Drosophila melanogaster: one gene and its partners. The protein of the gene in region 1 interacts with the protein of each later gene in a biochemical or structural test. Each region holds a gene or a part of one and is shown in the gene's direction. Other genes may lie near its edges.

Region 1 (4,960 bases):
ATTCTTTTTTTCTTCAATACTATCTTGGATTTTACAAATTTGTTCATTTGTTTTCCAACACTATTGTTTTGGGCATTAGACAACTATTTTTTTTATTTTAACAAATATTTTCTTCCTATTTCTGGTCCTCGCTTTGCTAAGCAAAATTACCGAATTACTAGCGATTCGAGCGATAGTTTTCTCTCAGTGCCTCCGCGAAATGTTTAATTTTAGAACGATATTCCGCTATTAAACGAGTCCGGGCAATTTTCGACCGAGTGAACTGAACTGAACTGCACGCGCCAAATGCCGACTAGCATCTGAGCGCCGAGGAGCAGAGACTGTAAAGCGGAATTTGAACCGAATCGCCGAGTTGCACTTCGGCAGAGGCGGAGGACTCCGTGCCGGATGCAGACTGTGATAACATTTTCCTGAGGCTCTGCGTTCTCAAGAGTGCTCGATATTAGTTGGCCGGCATGTGACTTGAAGCCTATGGATTCTGAATGGGACGGTCGGATGGATGACTCTATATCCAGCATATAGCATCGTATCCGTATCAAGGCCGAAACACTTGTGTTGCACCGGCATTTTCAATGTATTTTCAATGCGGACGCAAAGCGAGCAAAACAAAACACAACAAGCATACGCCACGTTGCACTTGCACAGCATCAAATGCCCTGCCATCCTCATTTTTAATGCATGAGGGGGTGCTCCCTCCACCCGGCCACACTCCATTTGTTTTTCCAACCATCGCTGTGGATTGCGTAGCGATTGGGGGCTGCAGCTCCGAAACTGTTCGCTTAAGCGGTCGGTGATAAGACGCGAAATCAAATTTAAAAGCTATCAATTTGATATTAGTTCGGGGACCGACGAAAATCCTTCGGGGGAAAAGCTGCTGCCGCGTGCCAGAATGCAGAAATCGGAGTTTTTCATGGGGAATTCGTTCACGGAAAAACAAAAGGAATATATTTGAAATATAAATTTATGTTTTATTGTCATATTTTTCACTGGATATGACACTAATTTAATTCTTCTCTATCTGTCAGTCTACAGATATTTGTTTGGGTTTATGCAAAAAAAAAACCAAAAAAAAAAAACTTTTGTTTAGCTCCTCTCACGTATTTTATTTATAACTAAACTAAATATATGAAACGCTGTTTTCTCAGTGCATCCTATTTGTGTTTTTGCCAACATATGCTGCAGCTCATAAAATTTCTCCGCTTTGCTGCAGTTTTCATTTGCCTTTTTTTTTCGGCAGCTCTTTTTTGGTTAGCTGTCGAAGTTTTGAAATCAATTTGCAGATGATTTATTATGTTCCCAGGAACGAATAGGGGGCTTCAATCGAGGAGGAGTCTGTGCATACGACATTGCAAATGGAAGCCACTGACGTTGATGAATGCCGCTGTGTATTGTTTTGCTGTCAGAAGCGATCAAATTTCTGTTTTGGAGCACGGAATTCCAGGTGAAGCGGAAAATTTGCAAGTTATGCGACAGTTTTATGCGCCCATTTTTTGATTGGCAGCGAGGATTCGCAAATTGATGGCACGTCTCGGGGCAATCGGTTTTCTCAGCGGAAATGCCAGTTGGAAATGGGAACTTAAGATACTTAAAGAAATGCATCAAAAATAATAGGATAAATATTATATATTTATAGAAATTTTTAAGAAATATTAACTCTTTATCAACAGTAAGCATTTTCAAAAAGTAACCGCTTTTGCCTAACAGTGCTGCCCATCTACAATTGGTTTTCAGGCAGCACTATGCACACGGCAGTACAGCTGTTACTTATCGGTGCTATCGATAAATATCAAGGACTCAAAAATTGGGACTAATAATATTAAAAGAGCAAGCTTAAACTTTAACATTATAACTATTAAAACTGGATTTACAATTGTCTTACGTTACTTTAAAGTATAGCAGTTGAAATCGATTTAGTATTGTCAACGCGCGCTTTCCCACACTGCTCGATAAGCATATGTTTTTCTTATCGACATTTGTGGTAAATAAAAAGTGCAAAAACCGCTGCTAAATCGGTCAAGAAGTGCAATGATATAGCCGCCATATCTGATATGTCCAAGCGCAACATAACGTACGTAAAGCCGCAAGAACCTAGTTTTCTGGCCAAGTTGAAGGCTGAAATTGGCTACAAGGAGGGACCCACCGTAGAGACCAAGGTGAGTTCTACGGGGAAGGCCTCTGCAGCATTCTAATGCGGATATATAACCATTGGTTAGCGTCAGCGATTGGATCCGCAGGACCAGGAGGACTACGATTCTGAGGAAGATTCACGGGAGGACGAACAGCCGCAGGTGGTCGTCCTTAGGCCGGGAGATCTATCCGCCGAAGAGGCCAAAACGGAGAAACTGTTGGCCTCCAAAGGTCGGTACATATGTACAAGCATACATACATACATATCGCTGTAGTACATACATACTTACACGCTCGCACACGCACACACACATGCATATAGCCCACGGTGGCGGCGGCGGCAGTTGCACGTGTGTGCGTAGGTAGGATGTTGTAGTTTGTCTTTCAGTTTAACTTTTCAGTCAGAATCGAGCGGTTGTCTTCTTCTGCCCGGCGTTACATATATCTAAATCATATATGTATATATACATAACTGCGTATATACCGTTGCTTATGTATGAGTGCGCGCGTGTGCTTGTGCATTTTTGCCAAATGAAAATCTAACGGTAGTGCGAAAACAGCAGTTTGTTGCAAGAAGTATGTGTTTTTTTTTTCGAAAAGCACCTTCGGTTTTTCAATCTTTTTAAAGCCCTATGTTGCCATGGCAATCTTGGTCATTTCCGTCCTAAAGATTCCCTTTTTTGCCCAGCGGAGCACCCCTCACACAGACACACACACCCGCAGCAGCTAGCCGACGAGGCATACACACTGACATTTTCATTGGGGGCTCCGCCAAAGCAGAGCATGTGATGAAAATCGTTGGCAAAGCGGGCGCGGCGATAAAGCAGCCGGCAAAGAAGTTAACAACAGCAGCTGCCGCCGCTCGCTTTGTCCGCCTCTTCCGCTCGCCCCCCTGCCCCTTTCAGCCCCACTTGGAAGAGCGCAGAAAATCGGGTGAAAACAACGTGTGCAAGAACGAACGGATGAAGGAGGCGGGCAAAGCGGAGAGACAATGATGAACGAAGCAGGCGAGCAAAGAGGAAAAGAGCGGGCCAAAGTGGCTTGACGACGTGGTGGCGGTGGCAAAGGCGCTGCGGGGAGGGGGTAGGCGTTGAAGAAGGGGCTGGCGGAACAGCGGGGGCGGGTTGCGAATCAGTGGGTGGAGCGGGAGGGGGAGTGAAGCGGGAGCGTCGGGCGAGAAGGGGCTTCCCAGGGCCGAGAAAAACATCTTGTGGGTGCTGCTTGGAAAAGGGGGGGGTCGGTGGGTGGCTTGTTCTGATTTACACCTCCCTCCTCCCCATTTGTCATGCTGCAGTTTTTAAAACCCAGATACATTTTCCAATCCAATAATGAATTGCTGGCATATTAGTCACCTTCCTGGCAATTTTATAAGCAGATCAATTTTCAAAAACTTTCTTGTATTCCTTTTAGTTAATGCAATTTTTAAATTTATTTTATTTATATCAGCTTTGATATATGTATTGGCATTTTTCTCCCTAAATTTGTGCATACTACTTTCCCCAAAATATTTTTCATTCTAAGATAGTTTATATAACTTAAATACTCCATTTAACTTGTAAATAGGTGTTTACTTACACGCTTTACTACGATCATAATAAGTACAGATGATTGCTGACCCATAACTAACTCCCATTTTCAATCTTCCAGAATTAGCCGAAAAGCGAGCGGATCTGACGCAGCCAATAGTCTTCAAACACTGTGTCAAGCAGCCCAACATCGAGAAAAAAGAGTCCCAATCTGAAACCAACAAGAAGTCCGAAAAATCCAGCACATCCAAGAGCAAGAAGTCCAAGGCCGCCAGTAGTAAGCTGTCCTTCAACGAGGACGAGGAGGACGAGACTGCCGAGGATTGAAGATCACACCTTAGTTATCTGGCTATAAGTTGAACCAACCAAGTTAACCTGCAGCGAATGATTAAGGTGAGAAATTCAGGTCAAAAACAGCAAATGATTGTTAACTATGCTTTGTATTTCTTTGTTGCCATGTGAATTTATGAGTTTAATAATGGGGTTTCCATATGTATGTGTTAAAATCCAACTCGCAATGACGCTGTCATCATAGATTGTAGATTTTTCACCAAAGAACTAAACTGTATACTCAAGTTGATATGATATAGTATATATTTGAGTTTTTGCATTAAACATATGCATGTATTGCTGATTTATTGTTATTTAGAAATGAATCATTGAGATTAGATCATGGTTTTGACACGTCGATCGTAAAAATAATTATAGAATTCTTTAAAGATCCCTTAGATTCCTACAACATGATTTTTTCCTAAAGCTTTTCCAAATTTATGTTTTTTAAATAAGTGTTACACGTTTTAAGTAAATTATTAGCATACTAATTATATTTATTATTATCACGTAATGTACTTTACGTGAATCATACTACTTGGAAAAATATTAGTGACTCAAAACCGAATATTTGTGGTGAAATTTTATGTTATTTTCTTCTTTTTTTTAATGTATCTAATGTTACATTTTTCCATTTCAATTGTGAGTTCTTAGTTGGGTTTGATATTCAATCCCAATACAGATTGATCTTAAATCTTGATCAAAGTCCGAAATCTGCTAGAGAAAGTCCTCGGACAACAGGATTATCTAAACTCTGATACCTAATATCTTATAATTTAATCACTTGATTAGAAGAAATGTGGTAAAGTCCTTTTTGATACATGCGATCAATCTCTTAAATTAGTATCTTGTATCTTTACTTTCGATTCAATTGACTTCACCTCTAAGATATTAAGACCCAACTGCCACAGTAATTTCCGCTTAACTTTGTAAATTTGCACTGGAAAATATGAATTGGCTAATTTACTCGATATCGA
Region 2 (4,939 bases), about 17 Mb from region 1:
ATTGCCCTTGGCGTTGTCCTCCTCCCACTTAATGCGCGTTAGCATGAGCCTGCGATACTTTTTCTGCTGCTTGGGCCCACCCTCCACGACAACCACACAGCAATCCCGGAACAACACCACGCTGCCGGTCATCTGCAGCTGCTTGGCATTGGTCTCCACCTTGAATTTCTTGCTCTGGTTGTCCTGCAGATCTCGTATGCGATAGACGCTGACATGTACACCGCAGCTGGTGTCTTCCCTCAGCTTGCGCTGCTTCTTTTCGCTCTTCTGCTCGCTGGTCAGCTTGCGCGCATTGTTGGCATCTTCGTGCGCCTTCTGCCGCTTGGCCATCTGGTCGCGCACATGCTGCTCCATTTTGGTCGGATCTTGTACGGCCTCCGAGCCAAGCACACGCATCAGGTTGGATATGCGCAGTTTCGGCTCTGGTGGGGCCACCAAACCCAGTCGGATCTTCTCCTGCTCCTCCTTCCAGGCCTCGCGACGGTTCTGGCGACGAAGCTTTTTGCGCTCTTTCTTTGTGAGGAAAACCGGCAGATACACTGGTTTCAAGGGCTCATCTGAAGGAGTAGGTGGTTAGTTGCTTGTGGGACATGTTCTAGCTTTCAACTTACTTGGCGGCTTCATTTGTGTGGGATGCTCTATAAGGTTGGTTATGGCTGTTTGGCGTATGCTTATCTTACCGCTTGCGTCGTCTACCGTCTCCAGATCCTGGGTCAGTATAACTGAGTCCCACCACTCCATGGCAGGCACATCGTCCGGCATGTCCTGCTTGGGGGCAATCAATGCCAGTTTGGTGGCCGACGAGATGCCCGTTTTCCGGGCTATTTGCGAAATCTCATTCTGTAGTCGCTCCAGCTGGCTTTTCATGCGCATTCGTTCGGCCAGCTGCTGGAACTTTCCGGGCTCGTGGAATCTCAACGTCCTCTTGGTTCTAACAGTGGGCTTCAGGGCTATGCGGTCGTCAAAGTACTTAATAGCTTCTTCCTGGGCCGAAGTGCCCGATTCACTCCGTTCACCCAAACCCGTTTGGCGTTGGAACACCTCCCGTTTCTTGGCGCGTATGTTGGCTTTCAATGTAGGTGTCACCGTGGGAATATTAATGGTACGTCCGCTCTTGTCCACAGTGCGTCCTTCATCGTCCAGAATCAGGGGTTTGGGTCGCTCCTGCGCTTGAGCAGCAGCTGCAGCGGCGGCCGCTACCGCAGTGGGCTGAATCAAACTAGCCAAATTGCCAGTAAGCTTGGCCCTGATCTGTGCCTGCAACTCGGCAATCTTCCTGGCCTTCTCCGAGTCCTCGGGCGTGGGCTTCTTCGCCAGCGCTTGAGTGGCTAAGGCAACTGGCATTCCGATCGATGGAACTGACGCCAGCAGCGGATCCTTGTCTCTTAGATTACTCAGGGCCCGCTTGCGTTCCTCGATCTCCCGCTGGGCATGGGCCATCATCAGCTTGATCTGCGTGGAACTCAGCGAGGCGGGCACGGCGACCTCTTCTTTCTTCTCACCACCGCCGCCATTCTTTTCCGGGACATCGAAGCGGGATTTCTTGGGCGCTTCAAGGGCGCTTCCACCACCACTTTTGGAATCTGAGGCGGCAGCGCGCTTTTTGGACAATTTCTGGTCGTCGCCATCCTTGCGCGTGATAATGGACGACATAATTCGCAATTAAATGGGTCGGACTAAAAAGTAAATGTTATTTACCAACTGCTTGGCACATTCCTTGAGCTTAAATCAGCGATTTGCAATTCAAAAACAATACACAAGGTTTTTGGTCTTTGGTGAAAAATTCTCCGAAACACGTTAGGACAGGGTCGTTAAAAAAACATAAAAGTCAGGGTTGTCATGTCGCCAGTGTGACCGTTTCGCTTTCTTTTATCGGGGTGCAACCCTAGTTCTCTCACTTTTTGTCGCTCTCCGCTCCGCCATATTTGTTGAAGCCGCTTACAATTGACTATTTTTTTCTCGTCGTGTCTGTGTGTGCTTAATTATTTGTTGTGGAAATTAAGACAATTTCGTGTGCTCAAACAGTGTAAAAGTTGCATTCGAGTGCTACAATGGCATCGGAGGAAGAGAATGACGATAATTTCCAGGGTAAGTGCATTGTTTCAGTCGGCCAAATGTCGGCGTGAAAAAAACTCGGTCCGACCGTCGCTCGGTCAGGCTAAGAACCGTGGTCATGTTCAAGAGCCGCAAAGCCGCGCAGCGTGCTGCGTCCCCCTCCCATTGTTTATTGTTGCCTATTATCCTAATTGGTCATTGTCATTGCTGTACCTCGTTATAAACTATTTGTATTACAGCAATTGGTGAAATTTGTACATGTGTGGCGCGTTTTTTTGGGGTCTTTTGCGCCTCCTCCATTCCACACATATTTTTTATTGCATTTTTGTGTTCCCTCCATTCGCGAATGCAGGCAATATATAGACGTCCTGCTCACTCATCAAAACATATGTTTTACATGGTTGTTTTGGTCGAAAGTTTTGAGTGGAATACTCTGTAAATCCTTTAAAATTAAGTTTTATCTTAAGTTCTTTAGCAATTAAGATGTTTACTTTACCTGTGAATTGTCAAGTGTCAATTGTAATATACGGAAAATTCATTTTAGTTCACACTTATTGTGGTGTTACCGTATATGCAGTGTTATCATCGGCTGTGCAATGGTATCACCAGAAAAATAGTGTGCCCCTTTTGGAGCTAGTCGAGAATGCCCAGACGGCCTCATCTGCCACCATTTACATTCATTGTTGCTTGGACGTGGCAGCCATGACGTGATTTCTGAGTTTTTGTTAAAGAGATTACATTATTAATTGTAGAGAAAACTGTTAATTAAGGGGAATACGTGCATTACTCGCCACCGCCTACCGATTGCCAGTGTAAAGCCACAAATCCAGTGCGTAATATATCCAACTGAAGGAAAAGCGAAAAAAGAATGATGAAAAGTGTGTGCAAAAAATAAAAACCTGAAATTACCACAAAATATGCATATATATATTATAAATTGTGTAAGAAAGCAATGCAAAAAGAAAACGAAGCAATATGTGCATATATCTAAAGAAACGAAACAAAGATGCGTGGAATATTGTGGAAAATCTTGTCGCACTTCCACTGACGCACATACATATGTGATTTTTTCCACTCCCCCTTCGCCGACGTGCTCTCTTGATTGATTTCTCCACTCTCTCGCGTACTTGCGTCTCTGTGTGTGTGCGTGTTATGCACGCGCGCTCCAGCCAAACGTCGCCGTCGCCCCGTCTCTGTCGCTCCAACGTATATGATAAAAAAAAACTCACAGAAACCCGACGCGTTTAAATTAAATTTAGTTAAAAACAACAACAAAAATATAGCTACCAATGCAATCCTACCGAAGTGCCTGCAAAACAACTAAAGTATAGTCTTTTTAACGAGTTAATCAAAATATGCCAACACACAAGTAAGATGAAGAAGGAGAAAAGTAGAGTGTGGAAAAGAGACGATGCCAAGGGATGGGATGGGAAGGTGCCCGTCTCGCGAGGAAATTGCTGGAATGTAGTAGTAGTTCATAGGAAAACTGATAAACAATATGCCGCCGCTGTGTAACAAAAAGCAGCAGTATCCATAGCCACCCCAATTTTGCATACAATTTATGTTAATTCGTTCGCAGCTGTTCCTCTTCTGTCTACAGGCCTCTTCTCTCTTCTGTCCCTGCCCTCATTCGCCTCTCTTCTGCTTCTCCGTTCGACGCTGTTGCACTGTGGGCGTGTGTATGTATATGTATACGGTGTGCGTGCGTGAGGAAGTTATCCTAGAGAAATAGCGTGGGAGTAGAATTCAATGTCTAATTTTAACACGTTCCCCTCCCCGTCCTTCGGTGCTCATTCTAATTGGATTCGCTGCCGTTATCCTTCGATACATCGATAGGAGGATGCTTAATTCGCTCTGTCTTTTCCCTCACGTTTGTGACGTCAGCCAACGTTGGTTCTTCCCCATTTTTCTTCTTCCTAATTTCACCATTTGCCGGTTCTGTGATAATTTTTATGATTTGCTGCGCTATGCTGTCTTTAAAATTGTTTACTTTAACATTGCCATCCGATTTCCGATTACTCTACCACAAGTAAACAATCAAGAGTAATGCGACATCGCATAAATTACAAAAGGCTAAAACGATGCACATGTATGAGTGCCACTATTTATGCAGTAATGCAACAATAAAAGGGTGTGAGAGGGATAAGAAGGTTTCGGCAATGACGTATGCATTTTTCCTACGTACACAGCAAGAAATACGCAATGGCATTTGACACCGTTTCAATGTTTCATGCAATTAAAGCACATATCGATCAAATGTATTAATAATAATGACATTCATTACCGCAACTTTGTATCTTCAAAAGATCCAAATAATTTGATTTTTTCGTTGTTAATCTGAGCATTCTTGTCATTTTTTTATCAAAAGCTTCGCTGTTGCCGACTGCATAAATCTGCTTAAAACCCCATGTCTAACAACAACAACATGGCGCCAGCACAAATAAAATCAAAAATTCAATACAAGAAGTGAAAGTATACTGTGTGTGTATGTGAGCTGCAGTTACTGGTGTATTGGTGACGATCTTACCTTGCTTTGGCGAAACACAACTTGCCATCCCGCTCGCACGCACTGCATTCAATCAAGTCAACAACAAGTGGTGCTTTTTTATATCCGCCATGTATATACATATACATATCTTTATAAATATATATGCTTGTATAATTGGTAAATGGTATGTGTGTGCTGGCATTTCGAAAAAGTTTACTTGCGCTTAAAGTCCACAAAACTATGAAACATAAATAGGAAAAGTAAATATTATTTTAGCTTTCAAATACGTTCATTTTTATTCAAAAAACGCTCTCTCAAGTAGAACAACACTAGGTCGCTTCGATAATGGTTTTTGTTGTTCTTCTTGATTTTGACATTTGACGCGCATCGTTCGAG
Region 3 (5,909 bases), 6.4 Mb from region 1:
ATTTTACGATTCTCTGGCGCCGTTCGCTGCCAGAAATCTCCAGTCATCATCATCAGCTGGCCAAGCACCGGAGATATGCCGTCTCGTCCGGATCCGGAGTTGCAGTGGAGACTGGGACATGGGAATGGGCATTACTCGGAAGAGCGTGCCAGGGCGACAGCGAAATGCTAATTTAATAGAGGCTCTTCGACATTGACTTTCTTTCTAGTCCACTGAATGCGAACTCAAGCTTGAAATTATTTGCTGGCGACGAGTCAAGGAAATAAACGCATGTCTGTCGACAGATTTGTCTGATGAATGCACTTATGAGTTGAATCAAGTTCAAGATCAATGGCATTTGAACCAAATTGTATGTAGCTTGTCCTGAAAGAAAATCGATAGATAACTAATCAAATTCTATAATTAGTTCAACTGATTAAAGTAGTAATTAAAGTAAAAGTAATAGTACTAAAAATCGCAAATAAATCTTCACAGAGTTATTGTTTCTATTTTATCCAAATACAAAAATTTGTTCAGACCACAAGAAATAAGGGAAATGATAAAGAACCATTTAAAAATTAAGTTCTATAAAAATGGTGTTTCAAATAAATTGGATTTAAGTTATTCCTTTTTCTTTAAATTACAAATCATTGCATGTTTTCAATTTGCGTTGATGAATAAGTTAAGTTAAGTAAGTAAGTAAGTCTTAATATATTTTAGAATAATATAGCTATTCGTTAACGTATTTCAGTCCAATGTGTTTTAAATGATCAATGGCTCACTAAGTATCAATTATAATACTTCCTGTGAATATAGGAATGTGCATTTCAATCTACTTCCACCCGCAGGCACTTAAGCCCTCAATTTCCAATGCTGACAAGCACTAATCAATAGGCCCTCGAGCCAGAGCCCAAAAACTATATGAATTTCGATTTTCCATTTCTCAGTTTTTTTTTTTTTTGGGCAAATCAATAGCGAGGGCATAGCATATCGAAATTCCAAAACGGGCAATTAACAAAGCCAACAAAATTTATGTTTCACCTGTCTGCAGCAAAGTACATAAATACCCGAGAAATGCCAGACAATGTCGAAGATAGGGAACCCAGCTAATTACACGGGGGCATGGCAAACGACGGAGGGACAGCGCCCAAACGGAAGACGGCTGCAATGGAAATGGCAACGGACATTTTCCGACAGCGCCAAAACCAACAAAAAAACATAAAAACGAAACAGACACACAAGAAAAAAAAAGAATAAACCGAGAGGAGAAGAAAAGGCAACGGCAGCTGAAGACAGCAGACAGGCGCGCTGTGGAAAATCTCACTTCTGAATTACAAGCAACGCCATAGCCCGGCTAAATCCACATCCATATACATACATGCATACATATATCCAAGTCTCCTAACTGACAGTGATCGAGAGGGAGACAGGGAATGCGGCTTGAAGGCAGTGGCGCAGAAAAACACTGCGGCTGATGAAAATCAACAGGGCTAAGCGTTAACTTCGCCACTCGGCTGCACGCAGTTCGCTTTTCCCGCTCCTCCGCTGCTCACAAAATGGCGCCCACCGTCGATCCACCGATCTTCGCCAGAGTGGGACAACACTAGTACCCACATAGCGTAGGCGTCTTCCGCCAGCCAATCACAGGCGCTGCCCACGGAGAACCGGTTTTCCAAGCGTAGCTGCTACCTGCTTGGCATCGGGAAAAACTGGCTGCGACCCACGGCGAGTTAGCACTCGAGCGGAGCTACTCGAGATCAGTTCGTTGCGAAACGTCGAGCGTGAAAGAACCTCAGAGCGCATCTTCAGTTACGAGCGAGTGAATAACAGTGAAGAATTCCAAACTACCAGTTATTATCAGAACGTACTAAGACATTTTACCAAGTGCTATACACCGTGCAAGTGCTTCGAAATGCTTTCCATGCAAGAGCTAATGGATATGCGGATGCAGCAGCAGCTGGCCCACGAGATCTACCGCCAGCAGATCATGCAGCGGATTCCAGGTGCGTTTCTAGACATAAGGTCTATGGGTGTTGATCGAATGCCGTCGGCAAATGGTTTCGCGATTTTCAAACTAAAAAATATGAGAAAATATATGCAACCCAAAAGAGCGTACTTAAAAGTGTTTTAATATTGTGATTATTATTAGTGCTTCGGATTTTATGAGCAATAAATATTCTACTTCAATTTAACTTATCATTATAACTAGAAATTGTGGTCATAACTGCATTGCCTTTATTTTCAATCTTTGATTGAACATATCTTAATAGGTATTATATTCCGATAAAATACAATAGATAGCGAAATTCCAGCTAACTTAGAAATATGATTTCTGCAACACCCACCTCCCTGAAGAGGTCCATTGCAAACCCATGCTAATGAACTAACCAAACCGCTTCTTCCAGATCCCTTTCCATCGATGTTACCTTTCAACATGCCCCACCAGCAGCCGCACATGATGCTGCCCAGTCGTCCCACCCTGCCCGGCGTGGAGGCCAAGTTGGAGAACAACGATTTGTGGCAACAGTTCCATAAAATCGGCACCGAGATGATCATCACAAAGAGCGGCCGGTAAGTTTCATTTTCCCGCGAACCCATTATCCTATGCAAATAGCCCGAGTTTTTCCAAAAGTCAAGTGCGTCGCACGGCCTATGTAAATATTTGCTCCTGTACCAGGGCCAACTTTCCCAATTCCTATCTCATACGAGTACGAGTATGCCTATACCCTGAACCTTTCGATTTCCCGGGCCTAATGTGGCGCCTGGCCATAACTCAAAACGCAGCAGGAGCTCTCGCTCGGAGTGACAACAAGTGCAGTGTAGTCGGCGGAGGAGAACACAAGAGCAAGACGCCGCCCTGGCGCCGGTCCGATCATAAAAATCTTTCTTCTCTCGGTTTCGGCGTTGACAATCGGGTTTGGTCGATCTACCTGCGCTTTTCACACTTTGCCCACAATACCACCATACCATACCATACCATACCATTCCATGCCCTGTCCGTGACCCTTCTCCAAAGCGATGAGACCAGACCCTAGCGTATCTCAGATAGGGGAACTATCGAACAGCGACTACCGAGCGGGAGCCGAGACAAATTTACATAATTATGATCTGAACTCGAAGTTTAAGTTGCAAATGTACACGGAAAGAAATCGTGCAACTACAAGCATTATTTTTGGCCAAGGCTTAGAATATGGCTGGGCATCATAGAAATCAAGAGATCTTGAACATAAATATATATTTGTTATATATATATATATTTCGTAATATTTTATTGAAAATGATTAATATCCAGTAGAAATATTATTTTTCTGTGCTGTTTAATCCGCGATAACAGTCACTTTCTCGGCTCATTAGACATGCATTCGACGCTTGGAAGCCGTTAGGGCGACTCCCAGATTTTGTCTAATTGCTTGGCGCCAGATTGCCCCAGCTCCTCCAGCACTCTGTTGCTCCCCGTGCTCCTCCATGAACCAACGATCCACACAATTAATCATGTGCCGTTGGCATATTGTTTTGGGCTGGCAAGATCTGTTTGCGTTACCTTTTAAATCGATGCGTTGCGCTACGCAGACTCCCCGCTGCCCTCTACTTTTCGGTCCATAATTACACACTTGTTAGCCGGGGCAACAAATCACAGGCGATATGAAGTAAAATAGAATAGATGCCCGGGCGACGCCTTCTTTTGCGATGCTCCTTCCCTGATTTATATGCAGTTCGTGGCAGGCCACTTAATCAAGTCCTATTCTTTTCATCCTTACAGACGCATGTTCCCCTCGATGCGAGTTTCCCTCAGCGGACTGGAGGAGGAGGCCAGCTATTGCGTACTCCTCGAGATGGTGCCCATTGGCGATTGCCGCTACAAGTTCTCCGGTTCCCAGTGGGTTCCGGCCGGAGGAGCCGAGCCCCAGAGTCCGCAGCGCATGTATCTGCATCCGGACAGTCCGGCGACCGGTGCCCATTGGCAATCCCAGGCATTGCTCTTCAACAAGGTCAAACTGACCAACAATACACTGGACAGCAGCGGACATGTAAGTTTGAGTGAGCTCATAGTGTATCTTTTGAATGGGTTACTTATAGTTTCCATTAACATTTCCAGATCGTTTTGGCCAGCATGCATAAGTACCAGCCACGCCTGCACATCATCCGCAGCAGCGAGCTCACCCAACTTCCATGGGCTCCTCAGCAGGCGTTCGTTTTCCCGGAGACGGAGTTCGTAGCTGTCACAGCCTATCAGGTGGGTTAAAGACAACATCCTTTCCGTCCTCCATTGAGGACATGTCTGACAGGACAAAGACTCTGCGGGGGTCGTCGCCTAATTGAGGCATTTTCAAATTTGTCGCCTAGCCAGCCACTTGAGTTTGATCCTAACGAGGATCACAGTGGAACTTTTCAAGTGCCCTCCCAGCCGACGGCTACTTACTGACGCCTCGTAGTTTAAATTTCGACCAGACAAAAACAATAGAGATCGTTTTTCATACTATTTAAATTAGATTTAAAACTACGCGTTTTTTTACATATTTATTTAATCTGCAAATCTTTTTTATAAGGCCGTAAATTTATTTATTGTTCCTTTTTACGATCTAATTGAAAATTCAAGTGTTAAAAGTAATACATTTAGAGCTAATTCGTTTTAAGAATTCATTGTTGTATAAAAACTGATAGTAATTAATCATTTATGTGCTTAAATTAATTTATAAATTTGTTCTCATGCTTGCAGAACGATCGCATCACCAAATTGAAGATCGATAACAATCCGTTCGCTAAGGGTTTCCGCGAGTCGGGTCAATCCCGCTGCAAAAGGAAGCTGAACAGCAGCGGAAACTCGACGCTGGAGTCGGAGGATGATGGCTCCAGTGTGAGCAGCTGCGATTCTCCGCAGGCGAAGCGCCAGCGCCAGGATTTTGAGCAGGACTCAACGGGTAGTGTTTCGCCAGCTTACTATGGAGCAACTCATCCAGTTGCCAATCCTATGTCGCCGTATCTCCGCCATCACTTGAGCTATGGACCCAGTGGAGCTGCCGGATTGCCGCCCAGCATTGCAGCTGCCTATTTTGGTGGAGTTCCTCCGCAGATTCTGCCAATGCCACCAGCCACATATGCGCCAACTGTCGCGCCTGTTAGTCCTGTGGCCTCGCAACCCGTTGGCTCCAGCACACCCACAACATCACCAAGGCCTTCAACCTCAACGAAAAGAAATAGCTTCAGCATTTCAGCCATTTTGGCCTATTGAAAGAAATATTTGGTAAACATACTTAAGTTGGAGTCATCTTCTGTTGTGATTAGTGAGAAACGTGTGCATATACTTTGTAAGCTAATCTATGCTACATATAAGATCGTTTAAGAACCAAGCTGCAATCATATACATTGTTAATTCGTTTTAAGAGTCTTTGGTCAAAATAAACAAATCAGACATCGAATCCGTAGAAAATGCAAAACTATTTGCGGGGGGGGGGGGAGCAACGGTAACCTTCAGCGTTTCCGTTTTTACAGGTTTTTGGCCATATCGCAGTGCCTGGGCCAAAAGCAGTTATGCGACCGCTTTGGCGGGCCTAAGACAAATTAATGCTCTCCATTATGGTGACCAGTCGGTTCTCGAGTCACACGTATCTGAAAAACATCCAACTCCGGTAGTAGTTAAAGCAATTCTCCAAAGATAAGGCGTCCATTATGAGCAGCGATTTGACGGCTTTCAGGCTGTTTGGTCTTTGCCGACTCCCAGCTCCCCTGCGATTCCATCCGCATCCCTGGGACACAGAGATGACGCAGAGGTGGGTGCACGGAGAAAAAAAAGTATCACACATTTCAATTCAACTAAGTAAGTTTTGGCTTATGGTATTGCTAATAGAAATGGTTTTTAAAGTAAATTTAAAGAAAGAAAAATTCAACATTCATCTGATCATTTCAAAATCGAAGCACTTTTCTTGCAGTGC
Region 4 (4,876 bases), 8.0 Mb from region 1:
TCCAAACTGACTGCGTAATCCTGTGCTCCTTTGTAACGCCAATAAATGTAACATAAAACCAGAAACCTAGCATTTTCGCGTACTAAAAGATTGTTAGTACCAAACTGTCAGATGTCTACACAAATTAAACTAGATAATAGTAACGAAAGGCAAAATTGCACGCTACAAATTCAATTAAAGTCAAAACATACAACAAACTGCCCAAAAATCGTATATCTATCGTAAAATAATAAAGAGTAATAATGGAACAAAAAAAAAATAGAAAAATAACTCCTTTTGAAGGTTATTAAAATTATGGTTATTTTACGTTTTAAATCGAACATTTCAAAAATGAAGTTTTTAAAATAGCAGTATTTCGAACACAAAACTAACAGCATTCATTTTCGAATGTTAAGTTAACAGCACTAGCGGCATTCGCCTGAGTGTCTGTTATCGATTTCGAAAATTCGAAAACGAACAGCTGATGCCAGTTGAATTTTTCTTGTTTAATCTATTTGTTGCTCGTTGCTCGTGAAAACCCGTTTAAAACAGTCCAAAATGGTGCAGGTTTGGTATATGGATACGGAGGAAACCGATCAGCGCCTGGAGCACCACCGCAATCCGCCTGCCTACTTGGAACTGGATGATCTGTACCAGAAGACCGGCGTGGAATACTTTAAGGCAAGTGAAAAGCGAAATTGCGACTTTAAAAACCTTAAGTGACCTTGGGGGCGAGCTTATCTTGATCATTCACATTTGCAGATCAATGCGGACGAGTACCAGAGCGATAATACCCTCACGGAACTGAGGGCAAAACGTGGCTACACCTACGATGATGAGGCAAGATCGATGTTTTCTTGAAAAACATCTACCGAACTTTGGTAAACTTCGAATTATTACAGATCACATGCTCGGAAAAGTGCCTTCCAGACTATGCCAACAAGTTGAAAGCCTTTTTCACCGAACACCTGCACACGGATGAGGAAATTCGCCTGATATTGGAGGGATCCGGTTACTTTGATGTTCGCGAGTAAGTTTTGTTTATTTACACCGCATTTTATAGTATCCCAGCCACATTTTCCCAATTAAATAGTTCAAGCATTCATATTCTTACTGATATTGTTTTTGCTCACACTAATAACATTTTTGGAATTGTTTTAAAACGGAAAACTATTTATTCTTTATAGCAATGAGGACAACTGGTTGCGCATTAAGGTTGTCAAGGGAGATCTGATCATTATACCAGCTGGCATATATCACCGCTTTACTTTGGATACCAATGTAAGTTATTTTGACAATCTTATATACAAACTTAAACTATTTGTATTGTTTTTTCTTAGAACTTTATCAGAACTCGTCGCTATTTTGTGGGCGAACCTGTCTGGGCTCCACACAATCGTCCTGCTGATGAAATGGACTGTCGCAAATCGTACATCAAGCATCAGTCGGAAAACTTTGTGCAATTCAATAAGGTTTAAAAACCTTAAATCTTATCTTTTACCATCAAGTTTGATATTTTGAAATATAAAATCGCTGTGTATAATCAATAGTTTCAATAGTTTTTTGTTTAACTTACAATTTTCGCTGATTAACGTAGTTTTGATATAGAATTCGAAGTCTATTTTCTATATCAATAAACCCCGCCAAAAACTTGATTTCGAATTTTATCTCTTAGTTGGTTGCTGCATATGCTAAACGTACTTTCGAACTCGAATCTCAGAGAGTACAATTCGCGGTATGACCGTACCAGCGCCGAAGAGAAAAAACAGCGCAAGTATATAATCCCAAGCGCCAGCGAAAGTATCGAGCCAACATCGATGCGCGTGCCATCGCTAGGAAGGAAAACAAAACAAACACTTTTTTACTTTTTCATCTCTCGGATCGTTCGGACGTGCTACGCGGTCTCGTCTGTGTGTGTGAGGTAGTGTGCGTGAGCGGAGCGGCGAAAAAGCACAATTGAAATTAAATCGAGTCGTTATCTGTGGATTCGGCGGATACAATACAATATCGTATCGTTATCTATTTACAAACAAATCGACGTGGATTAATAAAATGCCGCACACGAATGCTTAAAGCGGCCTATCTGTGTGTGTGTACGTGTGTGTCTATGTCTTTGTGTGTTTCACTCTCTCTTTGAAATAGTAAACAAATTGCGTATAAAGTTTACAGCAAAGTAAAAGACAAACAAAAATATTTATATAAAACAAAGTATATTCTGCAGTGCGTGTAAAATATTTCGAAAAGTAGCCGCAAAAAGGCAGCGGCGTCGACGTCAGCAGAGCGCGGGCTGCAAGTGTGTTGGTGAGGCGTATATACATACATACCAACGCATAAGTGCATATATAAGGTGGTACATAAGCAGTGTAATTAATTAAGTGAAATCCAAATAGTTTTGTGCATGCGAAATTGGAAAAATCGAGAGGAGTTCCGCAGCAGCAGCGCAGCGGCAGAGGCGCCACCGACTAACGGATTTTCACACGCGGGTAAGTTTTCTTGTTTTTTTCCCCCGTTTTCTTGCCCCAAAACAGTGCTAAAATTTTCATTACGCCAAAGAGGAAAAATTCAATATGTATATGTATGCTCCATCTCCAATCGCTCTCTCTCGTTCGCCCCGCTCTCTCTCTCACTGCCACTATCCAATTTAACCTCAACCGGTCTGCTGCTGCGGCGTCTCGTATGCATGTCGCCCATCTGTGCGCCTCCTTGTGTGCGTGTGGTTGTGTGTTTGAACAATCGAGGTCAATGCAATAGTGGCAATTAAGAAAAGTCATAAAACCCAAAAGTTGGTTGTTAAAACTGTCTTACAAAACAAACTATAAAATGTACAATAGCTTAATGATTGGCACTAGAATTAAATACTTATATGTATTGTTATCAAAACAATGAAAGTAATATGAATTACTACTAAACGCCAAACACTTCAATAGTTTTTTAAGGTAATATTTAACACACATTTTTAATTTGAATTTATTAATTTTCTCAATGTTTACGCTCTGATCTTACTGCTATGGTTTCGCCCTCGACTGTATGCATCTGCATAAGTGCCGTTGTGTGTGTTGGTGTTTCTGTTTGTGTGCGCTTGTCATTCGGCTCGTTAAAAATGCTCTGCCGACGTCGCAGTTGGCGTTGGCGGCTTCTTCTTTAACTCTCGCGCATTATTTCGCAAAGCTCCAAAGCCTGCTGCTTCTTCTTCTGCCCCCCCCCTCCTGTTATTGTTGTTGCTGCTGCTAGCCAGCCTGCCTTTCTTTCTTCTATATTGACAATTTTTACAGCTTTTATCTGTTGTTGTTGGGACGCCATGCTTAGGAGCTTGTCTCAGCTGCTACTTTTTTTCCTGTGTCGCTCGACTGGGTTGCCGCGGTTTTTCCTTTTTGTATTCGGAAGGGGTTGTCGCCGCTGTTCGTTTTTCTTTCCGTTCCCGTTATCTATACACACATTTCTCGCTTATGAATGAGATTTGTTGGCGGTCTTTTATGTTAACTGTGTTAATGAACTTTTTCCCATTCGTTTTGTATTTGATTCTGTTTTACATATTTATACTTGCTAATTACCCGCACGCACTTTTTGAGCTTTGCAACACTTGTTAATTTCTCGAAAATTACCCCCCGCACACATACACTCATGCAGAAATGCACTTGTTTCGCAAACTCTCTCTCCCATTCGGTTCTCTCATTTTTGGGGTTCCCCCCTCTCTCTTTCTCAACCATCCCGCAGCGCACGCATTTTTCGGCAATGTTGCATGCTCCAAAATACAAATACACAGCCATACAAAAAACCACCTTGCTGGCTGTCTCGCTCCCACACACAAACACACTCGCATACAGACGCACGCACTAAAACCCGGTTCGTCGTTAGTTTTAAACTTATTTTGGCATTCTTTATGTGCACTGCATTCTCGACGTCTCGTCGAGTCTCCCCATCCTCCTCTGCCACCGCTTTGCACTTCTCTTCGCCTTTCCTCCTCTCTCCGCTCCTTTGCTCTCTGCTTTTGGTCTCGATTTTACGACCCAGACCCGCATTTCTAGTAGTTTTTGTTGTTCTTGCTTGTTGCAATAGTTTAGTTGGTGTTGCTGTAATTGCAATTGTTGTTGTTTTGGTTTCTCTGTGGGTGGGGGAGGGGTGGCTATATCTGAACTAGTTCACAGCGGATCAGGTGAAATCCGAAAGTTAAGAGGAGTTAAAAGTTCGCTGAACCTATTTCCAAACTATTAAACCATCGGTAATTCAATTTGTAATAAGATTTATTTCAAGAAAATGAGTTTTTAGCTATGCGAATTCTTATCTTTGCCAAGTATTATCGTAAAATCAATGATTGATAAGAATTTTGAACTTCTATAAATTTCAATGAGGCAAAATCAAATAGAATGCAAATAATAAGTCTTACACATTTGTAGAACAAAATAAAATATACATATCTATAAAATGCGAATGTAATTAATTGATAATTAGTAGCTCCAACCAATTAGCCATGGAAAAAGTGAATCGAAAGAGTTAAAATATATCTGGTAGGTTGGGAACTAGAATGCCCGGTTTCTAGATTTATCGCTGTAGATTTTAGCGTTACCTTTGTTTGTTGCCGTGTCAGCTCCACACAGGTACCACTCACCCGCGCACACACACACACACACGCGTGTCGATTTACCTGAGTTTGCAGGTGAGTTTGCCAGTGTCTGTGTTTGTGTGTGTGAGTTTAGGGGAGCTTGCTCGATAGCCGAAATTCTCTTTTCGTCTTTTCGTGCGTTTTTGTTTGTGCAAGTGGAGCAACAAAAGTCGACGGCTTTGCAGTATCGCTGCGCTCTTCCTCTTCCTCGTTTCTCCTTCCCCTTTTCACTTCATTTCCCTCTCCCCACCCCCCCTGGCACTTGTTATCGATATCTGAAATTTTCATCTAATTTCG

What was found.
Region 2: the proteins of MEP-1 (region 1) and Mi-2 form a complex in vitro, tested with the Drosophila melanogaster proteins (one study listed by BioGRID).
Region 3: the proteins of MEP-1 (region 1) and Doc1 form a complex in vitro, tested with the Drosophila melanogaster proteins (one study listed by BioGRID).
Region 4: the proteins of MEP-1 (region 1) and simj form a complex in vitro, tested with the Drosophila melanogaster proteins (one study listed by BioGRID).

The regions. Positions count from the first base shown.
Region 1 is NT_037436.4:2,629,764-2,634,723, forward strand, and holds the start of MEP-1 (MEP-1), read left to right. Parts: upstream 1-1,951; 5' UTR 1,952-2,048; coding exon of another isoform or gene 2,049-2,153; exon of another isoform or gene 2,154-2,213; coding exon of another isoform or gene 2,214-2,358; intron 2,359-2,511; exon of another isoform or gene 2,512-2,703; intron 2,704-3,774; coding exon of another isoform or gene 3,775-3,980; 5' UTR 3,981-4,046; intron 4,047-4,960. Other genes in the region: CG42245 (uncharacterized protein), read left to right, coding at 2,049-2,153, 2,214-2,358, 3,775-3,980.
Region 2 is NT_037436.4:19,907,192-19,912,130, reverse strand, and holds the start of Mi-2 (Mi-2), read left to right. Parts: upstream 1-1,915; 5' UTR 1,916-2,051; coding exon 2,052-2,088; exon of another isoform or gene 2,089-2,497; intron 2,498-2,551; exon of another isoform or gene 2,552-2,933; intron 2,934-4,939. Other genes in the region: Prp3 (precursor RNA processing 3), read right to left, coding at 1-557, 612-1,653. UniProt on the Drosophila melanogaster protein: ATP-dependent chromatin-remodeling factor which acts in nucleosome-remodeling by catalyzing ATP-dependent nucleosome mobilization. Involved in regulating transcription. Plays a vital role in development.
Region 3 is NT_037436.4:9,039,649-9,045,557, forward strand, and holds Doc1 (Dorsocross1), read left to right. Parts: upstream 1-1,726; 5' UTR 1,727-1,891; coding exon 1,892-1,982; intron 1,983-2,180; exon of another isoform or gene 2,181-2,249; intron 2,250-2,384; coding exon 2,385-2,550; intron 2,551-3,739; coding exon 3,740-4,007; intron 4,008-4,075; coding exon 4,076-4,213; intron 4,214-4,696; coding exon 4,697-5,209; 3' UTR 5,210-5,394; downstream 5,395-5,909.
Region 4 is NT_037436.4:10,662,909-10,667,784, forward strand, and holds the start of simj (simjang), read left to right. Parts: upstream 1-1,830; 5' UTR 1,831-2,462; intron 2,463-4,876. Other genes in the region: CG8003 (uncharacterized protein), read left to right, coding at 1-18; Adi1 (acireductone dioxygenase 1), read left to right, coding at 538-660, 742-819, 882-1,009, 1,167-1,260, 1,320-1,457.